Callithrix jacchus: one gene and its partners. The protein of the gene in region 1 purifies or fractionates together with the protein of each later gene. This does not show direct contact. Links are inferred from orthologs where the notes say so. Each region holds a gene or a part of one and is shown on either strand. Other genes may lie near its edges.

The links. Proteins that work in one complex are often made in the same cells at the same time.
Region 2: the proteins of WWP1 (region 1) and SPART purify together in Homo sapiens (affinity purification with mass spectrometry; 5 studies listed by BioGRID and IntAct, counting the BioPlex papers as one, with this or other methods). This does not show direct contact. The link is inferred for Callithrix jacchus from reciprocal best matches to the Homo sapiens genes WWP1 and SPART.
Region 3: the proteins of WWP1 (region 1) and RNF11 purify together in Homo sapiens (affinity purification with mass spectrometry; 3 studies listed by BioGRID, with this or other methods). This does not show direct contact. The link is inferred for Callithrix jacchus from reciprocal best matches to the Homo sapiens genes WWP1 and RNF11.

Annotation. Positions count from the first base shown.
Region 1 is NC_133517.1:40,617,159-40,623,939, reverse strand, and holds the end of WWP1 (NEDD4-like E3 ubiquitin-protein ligase WWP1), read left to right. Parts: intron 1-2,905; coding exon 2,906-3,005; 3' UTR 3,006-4,498; downstream 4,499-6,781. UniProt on the Homo sapiens protein: E3 ubiquitin-protein ligase which accepts ubiquitin from an E2 ubiquitin-conjugating enzyme in the form of a thioester and then directly transfers the ubiquitin to targeted substrates.
Region 2 is NC_133506.1:155,586,437-155,593,223, reverse strand, and holds the start of SPART (spartin), read left to right. Parts: upstream 1-2,133; 5' UTR 2,134-2,290; coding exon 2,291-2,303; exon of another isoform or gene 2,304-2,316; intron 2,317-3,379; exon of another isoform or gene 3,380-3,434; intron 3,435-6,787. UniProt on the Homo sapiens protein: Lipophagy receptor that plays an important role in lipid droplet (LD) turnover in motor neurons.
Region 3 is NC_133508.1:88,114,784-88,121,570, reverse strand, and holds the start of RNF11 (RING finger protein 11), read right to left. Parts: upstream 4,930-6,787; 5' UTR 4,469-4,929; coding exon 4,346-4,468; intron 3,908-4,345; exon of another isoform or gene 3,821-3,907; intron 1-3,820. UniProt on the Homo sapiens protein: Essential component of a ubiquitin-editing protein complex, comprising also TNFAIP3, ITCH and TAX1BP1, that ensures the transient nature of inflammatory signaling pathways. Promotes the association of TNFAIP3 to RIPK1 after TNF stimulation.

The sequences.
Region 1 (6,781 bases):
GGATTGTGCACTTGGATTAGAAGTACATTTGAAGTGACAACCTACTTGAATGCATGATTTCTGCCCCCCCCCCCCCGCCCCCAGCAATTTTCAGTTGTTAAGGTGAAAGGAACAAGAAAGCTGAAGGTTGGGTTCATCAGAATTTCAGTTGATTAGTTCATTCAAAAGAGGGAGAGGTGTGAGATTTAAAAGTATTTGTAAGATGGGTGATGTGGCTCACGCCTGTAATCCCTTTGGGAGGCTGATGTGGTCAGATCCCAGGAGTTCGAGACCAGCGTGACCAATGTGGGAAAACACAATCTCTACTAAAAGTACAAAAAAGTAGCTGGGCATGGCAGTGCATGCCTGTAATCCCAGCTACTCAGGAGGCTGAGGCAGGAGATTCACTTCAACCCCAGAGACTGAGGTTGCAGTGAGCCGAGATTGCGCCACTGCACTCCATCCAGCCTGGGATACAGAGCTAGATTCTGTCTCTGTATAATAAATGAAAATAAATGAAAAATAAAATTATTTGCAGATACTTTTATAAATACAAATGAAATACAAATACATTATAATGTATAATGATGGCCCACGATTTCTAAAGTAATTATAGTGATGGGCTGTAGATAAAGCAAAAAGAGAGAACAAGAGGCTGAGGACAGGACGGGATAGGATGATGAAGTCATGGGTCAACAGGCTGGCATTTTAATTGAAATAAACTGGAAAGACATGGTAAGAGAACAGGATTTTTAAATTAGAAACTTCCTTTACTGGTGATGGCAGGGTTCAAGGTATAGTCTTGGAGTCAGTGACTGAAGAAAGCAGAATCGATTTTAGCATGTCTCTGTCTTTTTGTAAAACAGCACAAAACATAATAGCCAGTGTTTTAAAACAGAAGCCTGTTTTGGATGTTTTCAAGTAACCCACTTTCATGCTTTTCAACTCAACATTTATTAAATATCAACCCTATGTGAAACAGATCATCCTTATGAGAGTACAGAGATGACTGCCCTTGTGAATTTTAGAATCTGATGGGAGAAACCAATCAGTCCTAATCCAGAGTAGATTAAAATAGATGTTAAAACAGAAATAAAGGGAGCCTATGGATAGGGATATTATCCGTGTAAGATGTTTAAAGAGGAAGTTGTAGCATTTGGTCTGGTTCTTGATGAAAAGTGTATTCTAGACCATAGAGAGCAGGGTTACAGAGAAGCAAGATGTGTGGTATGCTCGGGAGAGCATGGACCAAGTTGATGGTAAAGAGTATAAGCTTCCTTTCCCCACCACAGTCCCCTCTCAACCCATGGCAACTCAAAAGCAGCAAAGGTTTTTGAAGAGTGGCATAAACTGGTATCTATGTCTTTTTAGCAAAAAGTAAAAAAGAAACAAAACAAAATGGACTCACAGTTAAGTAGCCAGGAAATTCTCTGATGGTCCAGGTAAGAGATGATGGGGAAGTATGTACAGAGGGATGTAGTGGTAGTAGAAATGATCAGGAGGAGCCTGGGCAACATAGCAAAGCTTCATCTCTACAAAATGGCCATGGTAGCATGTGCCCGTACTCCCAGCTAGTCTGGGGGCTGAGGTGGGAGGATTACTTGAGCCTGGGAGGTTGAGTTGCAGTGAACCGAGACAGTGCCACTGCACCCTAGCTTAGGTGACAGACCCAGACCCTGTCTCTAAATAAATAACCAGGAGAAAATATGGAGTATATGATAGATAGAATGACAGAATTTGGCAAAGGCTATATGTGAAAGATGTTAAGAGATCAGAAAGTGACTGGTTGTCCTGTATAGGAAGTATTTTAAAAATATTTTTTTCTGACCTTGCTATCATATTCTACCTTGAAGTATAAAGGGGAGAGCAACATATGGTCTACTTAATTGCTGCTATTAATATCTTTAACTTCTTTTAAAATACAGACAATAATAGTCTTAGAACAACTCTGTTCTAATTAGCTGTCTTGTTTCAAAGGCTCTTAATTTTCAGGTTTCCTCTGACAGGGGAGGCTCAAGGGCACATGGAGTGTGGGAGTGGCAAGAGGGTACCTGGGTAATCTCTAAAAACCTTCCACATGAGAAAATGAGGGTACAGAAAGGTTCTTACTCAGAGCTATCTCATTAGTCACTGCTACTATGAGGACCAAAACCCTGAACATCCAAATCCTAATCTAGCTACTCACTGCTGTACCTCACAAAATGAAATGTTATTCTACCTTTGTAAACTGAAAAATATTGTTATTTTAAGCATTTTTCAGTATTTAAAAATTTTTCATCCCAGAATGGAATTATTTGAGTCTGGCAGGACTGGAAAATATATCATTTTAGAAGTTTTTTATATGTGGTTAGATTATAAAGACAAAGAAACGTATGCATTTGTTCATTGACTGTCTCCACCCCAGAATGTAAATACTACGAAGACAGGGATTTTAGTTTTCTTTATTGTATCACTAGTTTTTAGAACAGTATCTGTTATATAAAGAATCTAGGTAAATAACTGATGAATGAGTGAGTAAGTGGATGAACGAATCCATTAGGATAATGGACTCTTATCCTAAGAGCAGTTAGGAGGACTCATGACACATGTAACAGGAATAGTAAAGAGAAGATTAATGCTTAAAAAGAAAATCCAGTCTTTATCCATATTGCTACACTTAATTCCATTTTTCTCTGGGAGATGTTAAAATCGTTTTTATATGTAAATCTTAAATTTGGATTGCGCTAAGAAACTTAGAAATGTTAATATACCAATTAAGTAATGTTACAGTAGTAAATTGTCTGTTAGAATACTTCCGGCAAAATTTTTACATATATAATATGTATTCACATATCCATTCAGCTTTTCTGTGTGATTTGAAAAATATTCTATTAGAATTTTTTTCATTTTATTGAAAACATCTCATTTTGTTTTTGTTTCTGTTCAGTTTTAATCGCTTGGACCTACCACCATATAAGAGTTATGAACAACTAAAGGAAAAACTTCTCTTTGCAATAGAAGAGACAGAGGGATTTGGACAAGAATGAATGTGGCTTCTTATTTTGGAGGAGCTCTTGCATTTAAATACCCCAGACAAGAAAAATTGCACAGATAGTGTATATAAGCTGTTCATTCTGTACAGTGAATTTTTCAAACCTCTCAAAAGTATGTTTTCCGTTCTTCCACAGAAATATGCAAAACAGTTCATCCTTTTCTACTTTATTTATTGTTCCCTTGAAATGACTGACCAGGAAAAAGATCATCCTTACATTTTGAAGCAAGTGAGAGACTTTATTAAAAATACGTATATATCTATATAACCATATATGATAGTGGCTCTAGTTTTATAGAGCTCCAAGTGTATTAAACATGACAGCCGTTCATTCATAAAGATCTGAATTTGCTTTATCTTGTTAATATTATCTAGGGGAAAAAGTGCAAATTGCTCCATGTTCTTCTCTCCCTTATGTAACATCTGAGGGTGTTTAGTTGCATGGCTATTCAGGAAGGTATTAAGGGCTTAGGCCAAATCTTACTTTGAATATGTTTTTAAAAAAAATGCTGCTGGCTTTTCTGAAGATAGGTGCTTGAACCTGTCAGATTGTTTTAAATAAATACAATAGTTGAAAATTTTTCCCTATTACATCAGTAATATTGTAAAAGCAACGGATAAAACCGTAACTTACACATGAAACTCATATACTAGATCCAATACTATTTAGTTTATTACCGAAATTGGAAGGATTCATTGAGCAGCATAGAAGTCTGTTTACATGTTATTTTGGGATGCTAGGTATTTGTGGAATTAAAAAGAATCAGGCACTTTTGTACTTTGTTTTAAAATCTGTGTTCTTCAAAATTTAATTCATAATAAATTGATGCAATTTCATACTTAGGAACACATAAAAGGTAATTTGAACTCTGCCACTTTTTTTGTGTTCAAAGTTTTGGTTTTATAAAGCCAGATGGATTGAAGAGTTACATAAACATTTGAATGCTCTAACAAATATGAGGCTAATGATTTTCTGTTAGTGTTTGAATATCTTCATTCCTCTCAAATTCGTAACAGCTCTATTTATCTGAATTAAATAAGCATATAAAAATCTTTTGGGTCTCCCCCTTTTTATATAGATAATTATTTTTGTCCTAAGTAACACTTTTTCATTGTTTTTCATCATAAGGCCTTTGCTGAGTTAGAATAATGTGTAACAAATTAAAATCTGATGTTAATGATATTAGTGCCATTTTTAGCAAACTGGGCTTCCTAATACAAAACTTTAAATTTCCATTTGTATCACACTTTTAATATGCACTGTAAATTTCATTAACTTAAACATTTTTTATAGCCATGGAACTGACTTCTTAGAATGTGTTGCCTATAAATATATCACTGCTAAGTATATACAGAAAAAAACTAGTATACATGTTACCTTCCATAAACAGTGTTGTTTTGCCAAAATTTTATTTTTCTACATATTAATCAAGAGTGTGTTCTGTATTTTATTCAGAATTCATAGTAAAGGTGAAAGAAAGGCAGTAATCTGCTTGGTGAATAGACTCCTTTTCCAAATCCTAATTGCAGACACTCTGGTTATTTTCAAGCCTAAAAAATTAAAAAAAAATTCTAAGGTATAAGACAGCTTATGTGATAGAGAGTTAACTGGTCTTAAAAAAGGACTGCCTTAATTATACCATAAACAATTAAGTATTAGAATTACAAATGGTACCACTGCTGTATAAATTTTGCTATGACAGAAGTTATTGACTGTCATTCACTGGAGGTATGATTTAGCAGATTTGACTGAAGAAGATGGCATTCCAGTTGGTTTTCAGGGTACTGGTCTCCCTCCTCAAGAAATTAAGATTCACCAGGTGAGGCTACACAGAGCTTTACAAGAGACCAAACCAGCTTTATTTTGGAGAATTCATAATTCATCAGGGTCATCCAGTTTTCACACCCAATTATAGATATCCAAGACCTATATACAGGCAGAGCTGTCTTGATTTATCTATCTAGTAGCAGTCAGAAAAACTGTAGAAATAATGGTCCCGCGCTCACCTTCTCTATTTTCTCCTTTCCCTTTTCTCCCTTCACTTTCTCTACTTTCTCCCTTCTGTGCTGGATCAACCAGAAAGAAATTAAAAGTGCAAGATTCTCTGTGACCAAAACACAGTTCATGAGGAAACAGACAAGAGAGGGAGGCTCAGAGACAGGTTTATATTGCTACTTCATTTGGGTGGCTCCCCTGCCCCCACCACCAGTAAATGGCCCAGGGAATGGATTACAGGCCCAACACCATTCTATTAGATCAGTTTAATTGTTTGTCTTCCAGGGAAAGTAGCTTACCCGTGTTTTGGGGTTTTTTTCCCTCTATACTTCCCACGTAGTTGAAAATGAAAAGGTTAAAATCTTCTCCCCTGATGACTTCTGTTATCTAGCTCTTCCTATCCTGAAAACTAAATAGGAGGATGGTACGTGTCAACTGTATTGCCAGGCAACTTTGCTTCTGGTAAACACGACCGCTGACTGGTAAGTTTTATCTGGACTGGGAAATCTCCAGATACATGATAGAAAGCCATAGCTTTGGGCATACCTGAGTGGAAAACTTCTACACTGGATGCCCTTTAAAGAGTACCCTGAGCTGTTACCTGGGGAGATGACAGTCCTAGGAAACTTTCATCTCCTAGGAGATACCGTTGCATAGACTGCTATTAGGAAACCGTCTTCTGAAAGGAGGTTCAAAATTGCCCTGCTGGCGAGCTGCTTTTCCTGTCCTATAGCCTTCTGAGTAAAGTGGTGCCAAATATAGCCTACTGTAGGCTTGTTAAGTCTGAATGTTTGTTTGGTTGAACCTAAAAAGACTTGGTGGATGTTGCAGACGTAAAATCTTCCTTTTTTGAAATAACACAAACTACAATTCTCCTGTAACACTTAATTAGTTAACCTTAAAAGCCAAACTTTAGGTCAACTGGGGATTTGATCTAAATCCAAAACTGACATCCCCTAAATTCCAAAATTTCTCTCCTCAATTCTCAACCAAGAACAAAATCAGAGGTAACAGAAGTTATCTCATGGTAAATCCGTTACATAAATTATTCTCTTATTCCTTACAACTCCATGAAATTGGTGGGTTATTTCTTTAATGATGCTTATTTTATAGATGAGGAAAGTATGAAAGAAGTCATTTTTACAACATCCACAGCCAGTACACATCCTCTAATTAAAAACTCAGTTAACTTTGCCATCAAGAAAATGAGAGCTTTTAGGTTCTTATAGGATCATGGCCACTTTCCAAATTCAGCATTCTTTTCATATGCTCAAAAGAAAGGAAGGAACCTCTATAAGGGAGAGATATCGCCTACTTACGTAATAGGCTTAGAAGACAGCATTGTCAACTTCTATATACATGCATGTAGGAAAATAAGCATCTCAAGCCAGCAGTCAGCTCGGGAATGCACACAAAAACAGAATCAGGTGGGGACTGTACAGGAAGGAGAATGTAAGGGATTCCTGGGGTTCATTCTCAGTAGTGGGTCTCACCCTTAGAGGGGAAATGTCAAGAACCAATGTGACATGTGGGGAATCAGGCTCCTGGGAAGTCAAATGGAAGAGACTTAGTGCACAGAATCAGAATCTTGGGAAGGCACCATGTCTTGGAGAAGAAACCTACCCTCAGAGAGTAAAGGGGAAAAAATGAAGATAAAAGGACCCAGTAGCCACACTCCTGGGCATGTATCCCAGAAAGATAAAACAAGTAGACAAACCTGCATATAATGCCTATAGCAGCTTTATTTGTAATAGCCAGTTATCAGGAATAACCTA
Region 2 (6,787 bases), on another chromosome or scaffold:
AGTTTTAAATTTAAAACCCTCTTCCCATCAAATAGTCCCTATAGCTAATTAATCTTAATTGAATCAATCTGATTAATTCATCTGGAATAAGTCACTGAAATCCCTAGGAAAGTCACTTAACTGGTCTTAAGGCCAAGCTCGGTGGCTCATGCCTGTAATCCCAGCACTTTGTGAAACCAAGGCAAGAGGATCACTTGAGGTCAGGAGTTTGAGACCAGCCTGGCCAACTAGAGGTCAAGTGTTGGAGATCAGCATGGCCAACATGGAGAAACCCTGACTCTACTAAAAATACAAAAATTAGATGGGAGTGGTGGTGCACGCCTGGAATTCCAGCTTCTCTGGAGGCTGAGGCACGAGAATCGCTGGAACCTGGGAGGCAGAGGTTGCAGTGAGCCAAGATCATGCCACTGCACTGCAGCCCGGGCAATAGAGTAAGACTGTCATAAAACAAAACACAACCACAACAAAACTGGTCCTAAATGCTCAGGGCAAGTACATACTGCTTTTTCTTTTCTTTTTTTTTTTTCCCTAAGGCAGGCCTATGGAAGAGTTACAAGTCTTTCATCTACAATATTTTACTAATTTAAAAACACTTGTCAAGAGAGGTAAAGTATGTTCATCTTGATTTTTCTCTTTTAGCCTTCCATAATCCTAAATGGTATTGGCACAATTACTTTTGTATCCTGGAGTGAGGAATTAACATTTTTATGATAGTGATAGAGACTTTTAACACACACACACACCCCCCGAGACTTAAAACACGTGATGCAGGCGGGCTTTTGGAAATTATGCTCTGGATACAGAAGTCCCAAAGCGCAGGCTGCAGAGACATTGAGGGGACAGTCAGCCTTTGTCGTCCTTCATGCACTGTGCCCAGCGCTCCCTCTTGCGGCTACAAGCGCTCACTGCCCACACTCGCTTCTAGTCTCTCCCCAGGCCTCGGTTACGCAGGGGAGAAAGAGATTGCGCAGGCGCAGAACGGCCGACGTGGCCGCAGGGGACCTTGTCTGGGGGTCTGCGTGGAGCCGCTGACTCACGAGGTTCCCTCTCGCCTGCCGCCCACGCTCCTTTTCTCTCCCTCCAGAGTGTTACGGTGACTGTTGGGTTCCAAGAGGACGGACGTCCTCCCACGTACCATTTAGAAGGTCAGAGTGGACAGAACCTAGTCTGAGCAGGCTGGTGACGAGTCGGCTGCTAAGACGCGCGCGTGGGCATCTGCGGCGTGACCGCGGCGGCGCGCTCCGGGCTCTGTGGCGGGAGCGAGGCCGACGGGCGGGGCGGCGCAGTCGCGTGACGGGGAGCGCTCGAGAGCGCGCGGCCCGGAACGTCTCGGTGGTCCCGGAGAGCGCGCGCTCGAGGCCTTGGAAACCTCGGGACCCGCCCTCGGCGAGCCCAGTGGCTACGCGTGTGGGGGAGCTCGAGCTGACCCGGGCAGTGGCGGCCGCGCGGGGAGCTCTCGAGGCGACGCCGGGGCGCCCGAGGTCTGGAAGTCGCAGGTGGGGCGGCGGGGAGTTCACCCCTGCGCGGTCCCCTGGGTGGGCGGCGTGAGCACCCCAGGCCCCGCTCACCCCGCGGGGAGGCCGAGCCGGCCAGGGTCGCGGGACGAGGGCGGAGGTGGGTGGGGCCTCATCCAAGTCTCAGGAAGGGAGCGATTTCGTGAGAGAATAGTTTGAGAAGTTGTTCTGCGTCCCCTCCCCCGCCCCAGGGTCGTGTTTAGGGAACCTTCGGTCTCTCCTCCTCGGACTTTTAGGTTGGAGGGAGTCCTTCCCGCCCGCTTTGCGTCGCGGGGTCCTTTGGGAGCCTCGCCATTCATCCTTCTCCCGGCTCCACCCCCGTTGTTTACTTTGAGTTCGCAGATCTCCCAGTTCTTTCGCCCTCCCGCAGCGCCCACTGCAGTGTCGGGTTCGGTAGCCTTTCTCTGCAAGGAGGCCCACGAACAACTGCAGTTACATTGGGAGGGGTTGCGCGTGATTTGACTCTTTACGGTACATCCCTTCCAGTTTCCTAGGGATTGAGCTGCGCGGTGGATGCCTCCGACTTTATTGTGGGCCTGAGAAAAGTTTCTCTTGGAATGCGCAGGTTCGTGACGCGGCGTATTATTGCGTGACTGTAGGGCTGACCCAGTTTTCCTCTAATTGTAAAGAAGTACTCTAGTAATCCACTGAGGATCCTGGAGATTGGCTTTATTGTATTATAGTTTAACGACTTTGCGTGCCAGGTTGTTACGGCGTTGGAAATAATGGCCTCGGATATTTAAGAATGTAGTGGTATTTCTTTGAAATTTCCGAAGATGGAGGAAAAAAGTAATAGAAGACTGTATCCATTTACATATGGAACCGTTTTCTGATTCGCGGGTCTTTATAATCGTAGACTTAATTTGGTGGGTTTATTGGACCTGTTTGAAACGGGAAGCCTTTCTGTAATGCGGCTTCCGGTCGGCTTCACCTGTGCCACTCTCTGAAACGTTGTTGTGCGTGGTTTCCCTAACAGGCTAGAATGAGTGGGATGCTACGGGGAGAGTGCATACAGGCCGTAGACAAAGCCCCCTCAGCTTTTTTGGTAAAAGACCAAATAGGCATTAGGTAAACTTCTGCCATATCTAGGGAGACAAATGCGGTATTATTAAAGACTGCTTTAATGTTGACTGTTATGTGGGAGTGAAGTGAGAGTGTTACTACTTTCAGTGTTTATGGAATCGAACTAAATTGCTAGGTATTTTGATTCAGAATTTTACCTTTGCTCTTGGGTATTTTTTTTTAAGACACACACATACATATAGTTATGTTGAAATAAATGCGTTTTTTGTTTCTTTTATTAGAACGTTAAAAATTAGAATTTAAGTGAACTACTGGTATGCAGGAACAGATTTGGTTTGTTCTCACAGACTGTTACACTATTGTAGGTACAGTTTAATACTTCAGATTGTTTCAAAGACTTTCTCTCCTCATCGAAATCATGTGATAATAGTTTTTATCTTTTCTGGACACTTGACGCTTAATTGTGCTTAGGAATAGAATAGACTTTTTTTTTTTAAGTCACCATCCTATAATCCTTATTTCTGTAAAATGTATTTTGTGAGATTGGAGAGGAGGTAGCAAATCCCAGTCACAAAATAAAAATGTGTTATTTTAATATAAACCTTTTTCTGTGTTGAAATTCCCCAGAGATTAGACTGAAATTGACCATTAGACTTACATGTAACCTCCAGATATCCAGGCTCTTCTCCCTGTGTAACCTTTTTTTCTCTTCAAGATGGAGATGAAGCAAGGAAGGTAATTAAGCAACCCTGTGAATTTAGCCCTCCCACTCCACCCTACACACAGGCACACTCTTCTTTCTCAGTAGCCATCTTGTTTCCTCCCTTGACACATTGTTTAAGAAATCTTTCATCACACTGTATGTAAAAGAAGCTTAGAAGTAAAGGTATACCCAAGGTAAATATTGCTTCTAGCTGTATTCCTTCATTATGTTTTGCTTCTACTTTCAAATGCTACCTATTGAAGACTTAAGCCACATAACTATCTACCATGGGTCACTCTGGGTTTTCTTTAACCCTCCCTCACTCTGCTGACTTGTAAACATAGTAGGAGTTTTAGCTTTGGAATCAAATATAGCTTATCTAATTTTCATTTTCCTTTTTTTTTTTTTTTTTTTCTTTAAAGAGACAAGTTCTTGCTCTGTCACCCAGGCTGGCTGGAGTGCAGTAGTACAATCCTAGCTCACTGCAACCTTGAACTTGTGGGCCCAAGCTATCCTCTGGCCTTAGCCTCTGCAGTAGCTGGGATTACAGGCGAGAGCTCATTTAATTTTCTCGACACATCATTTTCTGATCCATGAACTGATTTGAGTTTATTATTTACTAGCTTTGTCTTAGGCAAACGGCTCATATTTATAAAACATTTTTAAAATCAAATAGCCTCCAAGAGTGAAGATTCGATAATCTTAGAAGGGTTCCAGACACGTACAGAGAGAGCTTAACAAAAGAGAGTAAATTTTGGTGCTTCTGAGAGCCAGAGACAGACCATGTCCATTGTATCTTTGCCATGTATTACAGTATGAGCGGTTTTTAAAGCAGTACTTTTAATTTGCTTGTGAACCCCCAAATAATTTTTGTAAAGCTGTCCCTCTTGCACACTTTTGGTTAACTTACAGCATTTTACATCATGCTTTAGTTGAAAAGGATGCAATTTTCCACATGGTATTGCTATTGACATTTTAATATAATGCTGGTACATCATTCTTTTAGCTGTATTCAGTGGAGTATCATATCTTTGTAGTTTTAGATATATCACCATCAATTTTTAAAATACATTCTATTTTACAAACTTCCTTCTTGCTTTTTTTATCACCCCCATCCCACAGAGTATTATCTTAAGGTAATGTATTTTTATGCTTGAAAGCTTTTTATTAATTTCTGTCATACATGTCTTTGTAATTTGAACTTTTATAAATTGAACTAAGTTTAAAACTGTTCCTATAATTCTATAAGTTGTAATTTTCTTTTGGATTGAATTATTATAAATAGTAACAGTTGATCAGAATAGCATAAATACCTGATGGATTTTAATGAATAATAATTAAGAGTAGAAGTTGACTGGAAATCTGTGTCTTAATGGAATAGATAGTGGGAGTTGTGTCTAAATTAAAGGAGGGTCTTTGAGCCCGTTGACTTCTTTTTTGTTGGTAGGGAGGCTTTTCCATCCTGGGGCAGTGTGTCATAGTAAGAATGGAAGTGGGTGAGAAGTATGTCTTTATTTTGTAAAGCGGAAGGATTGCGAAAGGATCTCAGGGAAGAAGAACCAGCATGATAACTGGACAGTGGGCATGTTCTCAGGCAGATTAGTTTAGTGAGGAATACTAATGGAAGTAAAGGATCTGGAAGCCTTTTCTTTTTTCTTTTTTAAACTACATGCATGCTGTTAGTGTATGTCCCGTGGAAGACTTTATTTGTCCTGGGGGACACACATCTTCCAGTTTGAAGACCATTTAGAGTGGTGATTCTCAGTGGGGGACGATTTTGCTGCCTAAGGTACATTTGGCAATGTCTGGAGACATTTTTGGTTGTCACAGCTGGGGTGGGGGAGGGGTGCTGCTACGGGCATCCAGTGGACAGAGCTCAGGGATGCCACTGACAAAGAATTAATTATCCAACCCAAAATGTCAACCGTGCCAAGATTGAGAAACTCTGATTTAGAGAATTTGTTTTGGAATCAGACTATTTAATTCCGTAATCTAGTGCAGGGTCAGTAAACTTCTTTTGTTAAGTGCCTGATAGTAAATATTTTAGGCTTTTGGGGGCCATATATGATCTCTGTTGCACATTATTCTTTGTTTTTATAACTTTTTTTTTTTTTTATGAGATGGAGTTTCACTCTTGTTACCCAGGCAGGAGTGCAATGGCGCGATCTCGGCTCACCGCAACCTCCACCTCCTAAGTTCAGGCAATTCTCCTGCCTCGGCCTCCTGAGTAGCTGGGATTACAGGCACACGCCACCATGCCCAGCTAATTTTTTGTATTTCTAGTAGAGACGGGGTTTCACCATGTTGACCAGGATGGTCTCGATCTCTTGACCTCGTGATCCACCCGCCTCGGCCTCCCAAAGTGCTGGGATTACAGGTGTGAGCCACCGCACCCAGCTGTTTTTATAACCTTTAAACAATGTAAAAGTAATTCTTATCTCCAGGGTCTTTCAAAAAACAGGTGATCTATGGCAATTAATGCTTTCAAACCTCAATTTTCTTCTCTGCAAAGTAGTACTAATAGTAATACTACTTCAAGAATTGTTTGTAAGGATTGCGATAAACACCTAGCGTACTGTCCAGCATATGTTAAGTGCTCTAAATGATGTGTGGGGATAGTGGTGTCCTGTAGTATTTTGCACAAAAGTGGGTGCCAAGTCACAGTGTTGTTCAAGATCCTGTTCAAGTCACTTGGACAAACTTAATGATGGCTGGCAAAGTTCCCAGTCAACTCTGAGAAGCCTATTTGACCTCTGCTGTCTTTCTGCTGTCTTACTCTGAGTCTCCTTGTATCCTGAAGAAGTTGGAATACAAAATACCTGTCCTGTGGTTTCTTTGGAAAAATGTGGCAATCTTGCGACACAACAGGATAGCATTCCAGGAAAAGAGATTGATAATTTTGATAGGGATGGTGGGGCAGAGCAAAAAGGTGGGTTTATGTATGGTCTCTTGTATATGGTGTTTTCTGACTGGGTACTGAATATATTCTGTCACTACCATGAAGTTGTTGCACGATATGGCCGACTAGTGGTTTATTTTTCAGGCTGGAAAGTATTGCTATATTATTACTAAATGGAAGCTAGAACACAGCTTCTGTGATGCTTCATAGTGTAGAATGCTGCTAAAATAGTCTCATATCACTGTAATTCTCCGAGCATAAGTTTTCACGAGGTCACAGGAAAAGAATTGGCATGTCTAATAAGAGTAGCCACTTAGGTACATGTGGATATTGGGCACTTGCAGTGGGGTTAGTTGGAAGTGAAATATCTTTTTAGTGTAAAACACATATCGAGTTTCGAAGACTTCAAACCAAAATAAAACTAAATTATTTCACTGGAAGTTTTTATATTAGCTGCATATTGAAATAATATTTTTAATATATTTGGATAAATAAGATACTATCATTGAAATTAATTTCACCTGTTTCTTTTTTACCTTTTTAATGTGGTTATTAGAAAATTAAAAATTATATGTGTGGCTTGCATTATAGTTCTGTTTGACATAGTTGCTCTAAAGCTTCCATTTACTTTTTAAATATAATAATAAT
Region 3 (6,787 bases), on another chromosome or scaffold:
CCTTTCCTCCTTTCCACCTAGTGGGAGGAGACAGATAATAGACAACGTAAGGCAGTGTGTTAGAAAGTAATAAACGGTATTGGGGGAAAAACAGAACAGGGTATTAGGGCAGGCTGCAACTTTAAATAGGGTGGTCAGAGAAGGTTGGTGGTATTTGAGAAAAGACTTGAGGGAGTCAGTCAGCCCTGAAACCTGGGCAAGTACTCTAAGCATAAGAATAAGGAGGGCAAAGGTAGAATAGCAATGAGGCCAGGGAAGCTGGAAGGAAGCCCTTAACAAAGGAGTTAGTTGTAGGTGTCAAGGAGTACAGATTACATAGGGTTTATGGGACACTATAAGGAATTTGATTTTTTACTTTGAATGAAACAAAGATCCACAGAGGGTTGGGCAGACTGTCATGTTCAGGTTTAGCAGAATAACTGTGGCTGTTGTGTTGAAGACAGGCCTTAGCGAGGACAAGGGTGAAAGCAGGGATACCAGCTAGGAGGCTACAAAAGAAACCAAGGAGAGAAACATGCACTTCCTACAAACTTAGATCGTAATGGTACAGGGTTTACTTTTAGGCAAAAATAAATAAAAACAAATTTGTCAGATGTCAATAGGAAATAACTGGAACTGGCGCTTGTCATTATATTCATATTTTACATAATATAAGGCAGAAAACAATGACATCTTTTAACTACTCACCTCAAGAGCACCTGTTCCTTTACAATTAGCTATTCCCTGTTAACTACAATTCGTTGAAAAACTTACTTTTATCAACTGAAAATACTATAAATTGGTTGTGTGAGGTAGCTCACATCCGTAATCCCAGTCTGTGGGCGGCTGAGGCAGGAGGATCACCAGAGGCCAGGAGTCTGAAGCTGCCAAGTGAGCAATCCACTCTAGCCTGAATGACAGAGGGAGATTCCCAACTCAAATGAATAAATAACCTTGGATTAATGTTTCTCAGATCATTTAAAATAACCATTCGTAAAACAGATCTTATTTCTTTCGGGATGAGGACAATACTTTTTCTACAAAAGTTTCTTTTATGCTTTTAAAGTAATTTTCTTCCAATTGATACTGAATTTGTATATTAGTCTGTGTCATTCATTTCAGGAAAATGCAACTGTAAAAAACTGCCACTGTCAGCCAGGCACGGTGGCTCACACCTGCAATCCTAGCACTTTGGGAGGCCAAGGTGGGCAGACTGCTTGAAGCCAAGAGTTCAAGACCAGTCTGGTCAACATGGCAAAACCCCATCTCTACTAAAAATACAAAAAATTAGCTGGGCATGTAATCCCAGCTACTTGGGAGGCTGAGGCAGGAGAATCACTTGAACCCAGGAGCGGAGGTTGTAGTGAACCAAAATCGCACCACTGCACTCCAGCATGGATGACAGAGTGAGGCTCTGTCTCAAAACAAACAAAAACCTCCCACTGTCAAAAATCTAACATTTCCAAAAAAAAGTTCCCTCTTGACACCAAAAACCCCTCATCTCTCATCATCATCTACTCCTTCTGGAAAAGGCAAACACAGTTTCCATAAACTTTAGTACTTTTAATACTACAATTATCATAAGGATAGGAGAAAGAGAACAAGCCAACGATATTCAATTTGCCTGGAAACAAAGGGGATAGGAAGCAGGAGAACTGCTTAAGGCCGAGTTTTTACTTTGAATGAAACAAAGATCCACAGAGGGTTGGGCAGATGTCATGTTCAGGTTTAGCAGAATAAGTGGCTGCTGTGTTAAAGACAGGCCTATGAGTAACATAGGAGACCCTGTCTCTAATTTTTTTAAAAAGAGAAGCAGGTGAGGGTAGGGAGCGTAAGAGATTTAAAATAAAAACTTCAGGCCAGATTCGGTGGCACACACCTGTAATCCCAGCAATTTGGGAGGCCAAAGCAGGTGGACTATTTGAGGTCAGGAGTTCAACACCAGCCTGACCATGGTGAAATTGTGTCTCGACGTGACCAGGTGTGGTGGTTCATGCCTGTAATCCCAAAACTTTGGGAGACCGAGATGGATCACCTGAGGTTGGGAGTTTGAGACCAGCCTGACCAACAAGGAGAAACTCCATTTGTACTAAAAATACAAAATTAGCAGGGCATGGTGTCACATGCCGGTAATCCCAGCTACCTGGGAGGCTAAGGCAGAATTGCCTGAACCCAGGAGGTAGAGGCTGTGGTGAGCCAAGATCATGCCACTGCACTCTAGCCTGGGCAACATTAACAAGACTCCATCTCAAAAAGAAAAAAAAAGGAAATAACCACTTTTGTTGTATAGTAAATAAGGGAGGGAAAGAGAGTGAAATATAAACACAGCTTGCTTGCTTCACTCAAAGGTACTTGTAAAGACATCCAGCTTCAGCTTTTTTTTGAGACAAAGTTTCGCTCTTTGTTGCCCAGGCTGGAGTGCAGTGGGGCAATCTTGGCTCACTGCAACCTCCACCTCCCAGGTTCAAGCGATTCTCCTGCCTCAGCCTCCCAAGTAGCTGGGATTACAGGCATGTGCCACCATGCCCAGCTAATTTTGTATTTTTAGTAGAGACTGGGTTTCTCCATTTGGTCAGGCTGGCCTTAAACTCCCGACCTCAGGTGATCCTCCGGCCTCCGCCTCCCAAAGTGCTGAGATTACAGGCATGAGCCACTGTATCCGGCCCAGATTAAGCTTTCTTGAGACTATCCTTGTGACATTGTACTTTGGAAAAAATAGTTGTGTAAATACAGAAAATACTGAATTCAACGTCATTAATCCATTCAGTTAGGTGCTTATGTGCCAGAAATTGAGTGAGGGGAAGAGTCCCTGTTTTCAAGGGCTTTTACTCATCATTTATCTCCCAGTTACTACCTACTGAGGCAGATGTAAGGGATACAACAGCAAACCAGAAACAGATTCCCTACCTTCACGCAGCTTGCACTGAAAAAGGCGAATACAAAAATGAGACACACATCTCACAAAGATAGAACATTAAAGTGTTATAGATATTACTTATGGAAGTGTAGTGGTTTCAGTGGGGACACAAACAAGGGATTCGGGCTGGGAGGGAAGGGAATGCTGGGACTTCAGACACAAAAGCTTGAGTTCTCAAAGAGGATTAGATGTCCACCTGGTTGACCTGGGGGAAGGGCTCCAAGCAGAGAGCAACTGAAGCAAAACAAAGGTGTGAAGAGCCTGGTGTATTTGGTAGGCCTAGAATCTAGAACGTAATAGAGAGAAGCCATGGAGGCTTCTGTATGCCACAATCAAGACTGGACTTTACTGGTATACATGAAATGCCCCAGAAGAATTATATTCAGAAAATCGGCATATATGATCAGGTTTTTCTGGTGTGACGAGACACTGGTTTACACAGGAATGAGAAAACACTAGGTAATGATGTCACCACATGAAACAAAGGAGAATGCCCAGTCAGAAAACTAAACTCTTCAGGAAAAAATTAAGTACTACTACTGAAGCCCTCTGAAAGATTGTATTCAATATCATCTAAAATGAAAAAAGTACAGGAAATGTTTTTACATATATATTATGGATTAAACATCCACATACCTATTTTGAGTTTAAGAATTAGTCATTCTAATTCTGTAACACATCTGGGACTAATGATTGTTGTACAAAAAGCAGTAAAATCTATTTAGGAGTCTTTGATACAAAGGGAGAACACCACGAGTAACCGAAGGAATTTCCCGTCAGGTTTAAAGGTTTCCAAAGTTCAAGCTAATCAAGTTTTCTTAAGTCAGCACGTTTAAAAGGTGTGTCATATGGGTGGAGCAAAAGGAGGAGGGATTAAAATTTATATACATGTATATATATATAAACAAGTAGCCTGATGTCGCTAGGGCTAAAATCACTTGGAGATCCGTCTCCGAAGCTGAGGGAGAAATGAAGACCTGCCAGATCCAATTAACAAAGACGAAGGAGGGGGTAAGAGGATGACCACACATGAAAACATAAATGGGGCGGGGTGGGGGGGTAGTGCTTGGCAACCACCTATCCAGAACCCATAATCCAGTTGGCGGTGCGACGAGGAAATCACACGATTCAGACATAAAGGCAGGAAAATGTCACTCCCAAACTCCACAAGCGAACCACCAGACACTGGCCTAGGGGATGTGATCACGTTCTCTGATCCCAGAACTCAAGGGCAGAGGGTACCATCCCCACACGGTGCCCGAGGGGAGGCGAAGAACCAACCCTATTCTGCGAACAGAGAGCAAATGTCCTCAGATCCAGCCCTAAGGGGGTCAATGCCGCCCAGGCCAGGCCTTGCCGAAGCCAGGGGCAGAGACCGCCCGAAGCCCCCACAGTCTCAGCCAGAGCTGCCTCTACTCCTCGCTCCCTCCAACACACACCCTCCCCTACCTGATATGGCGGCGGCGGCTCCTGATCCGGCTCCGTTCCCTCACCAAAGCTAGCCCGGTCGGACTGAGACTCGTGAAGGAGGGAGATGTCATCCGAGGTGGGGGATTTGAGGCAGTTCCCCATCTTCCGGAGCTGCGGTGCGTGATCTGGGGGAGGATAAAGCAGCGGTGGGGTCGTTCGCAAGCTCCGCGGTCAGCCTCGGTCGGCGAGGTGGGGTCGGGCGGCAGGCCGGGGATCAGGCGCAGGTGATTCCACCGCCCCGCGGTGCCGCCGAGGGGCCGCTCATGCCAGCCCCCGGAGGTGGGGGCTCAAGGCTGGGCCGCGGGCTCCGCTGGGGTCGCGGCGGTTGCCTCCTGCGAGGCGGCGATGGGGGGGGGGGCGGGGAGACGAAGCACTTCCCCACCCCGCCCCCCCGCGGGGCGGCGGCGGCCACGGAGCTGCTGGGCCTAATCCAGGTCAGGAGGGGGGGGCGCGGCCGTCGCGGCTGCCTCAGCTGCTGCCTCAGCTGCTGCTGCCCCCGCCGACGCCGGAGCCACGGCCGCGGGCCTCATCCTACTCCGCCTCAGCGCGGCGGCAGCAACCACAACGAGGCAGGCTCAGACCCTACGTCATCGCGCCGTGCGTGCTCTAGTCCCGCCCCCGGCGCCAGGGGGCGAGGGTGGCTCCGGCGGCTCCCATCCCCCTCCGCCCCCAGCAGCTGTTCCTGGGGCTGCGTCAATTTTCGCTTCTCTCTGACTGCTTGGCTCCGTACCCGTCCCCGAAACCAATCTCCCATCTCCGGCACCTCACCACATACACTGCGCCCGCCCGGTCTGGGTCTCAGTTCTTACCTGTGCAGTGTCTGACAGTCTTCTCAGTACCCTTTGACAAGCGGTCTATTTATATAAACCCATATCGGAATGAATCAGTCCCAAGATTAAAATATTAAAAGTCGTCCCCTTTATCCCTTCAAAATAAAGTCCTAGCTCGTTAATGAACCCTCCTTACCGCTCCAATCACTTCCTTATCCTCCCACATCACAGCCAGAGAGATTCTTCTTCCAGTTGTGTATTAGATTGTTCCATTTCTTTCCAGTCCAAGCACCGAAGTCCAAGCCACCATCATCCCTCACCCACTCTTCTGCAGTAGACTCTCAGCTGCTCCTGAGTTGATCATTGCCCACATCCAATCCACTGTTTGCAGAGTTGAGAGTTATCTTTTTAAAATTTAAATTGGATCATGTTATTCTCCTGTTAAAACCTTCAATGTCTCCTCAAGGCTGTCCTTAAAACAATCCTTAAGCAGGACACGGTGCCTCAAGCCTGTGATCACAAACTTTGGGAGGCAGAGGCGGGCGGATCATGAGGTCAGGAGATAGAGACCATCCTGGCTAACGCAGTGAAACACCGTCTCCACTAAAAATGCAAAAAAATAGCCGGGCATGGTGGCGCGCGCCTGTAGTCCCAGCTACTCGGGAGGCTGAGGCAGGAGAATCGCTTGAACCCGGAAGGCAGAGGGGTTTACAAATCCGACTCCCTTTTCTTTTCTTTTTTTTTTTTTTTTTAATTTTTTATTGGATTATAGGTTTTGGGGTACATGAGCAGAGCATGCAAGACAGTTGCATAGGTACACACATGGCAGTGTGCTTTGCTTTTCTTCTCCCCTTCACCCACATTTGGCATTTCTCCCCAGGCTATCCCTCCCCACCTCCCCCTCCCACTAGCCCTCCCCTTTTCCCCCCAATAGACCCCAGTGTTTAGTACTCCCCTTTCTGTGTCCATGTGTTCTCATTTTTCATCACCCACCTATGAGCATTAGCAGCATTGTCCCCTCCTTCACAAATTCTAAACTCGGCTCTCTAAAGTGATGTTCGTTATCTGGAAGACTATTGGCTCTGCCTGGGGCCTTTGTTTCTCTCACAGAAACCAACTTCTCCCCAATCCCAAACTTTCTGCTTCTTGGGCGGACACAACTTCATTTCCCCTGGGGAGCCTCACCTTACCCTCCAGTCTGAGTTAGTCGCTTCCTCTGCGTTCTCAGACCCTGAGCTTTTCTCTGTCACAGCCTGATCAAGCTGAATCATCTGTCCCTCTGTGCAAGGCTGGCACACTGCCCAAGGTAGAGTATGCTCTCTCCTTGGTTGAATGAACAGCTCAAACAACATATGCAAAAGAAGGAAGCAAGAAGGATGACAGTGCTACTGATAGACCTTCATTCAGCAGGTGGATCTTGACTGCCTTTCGTTTTATTCACCATTTACTGACTTTGCGTGTGCATGTGCATACCAGACTCCACGCTAAGCACTGGGGAAAATAATGATCACACCTGGATTGTTCCTGATAGAACCCAGAGACCACCTGGGAAGACAAGTAATAAGATTAGTCATAAATCCACACCCTGCCACGGCCCCCAAGGTTTTTAGAGGAACCAGTAGACAGCGATTAGTTCATTTGGGTGAGGAAC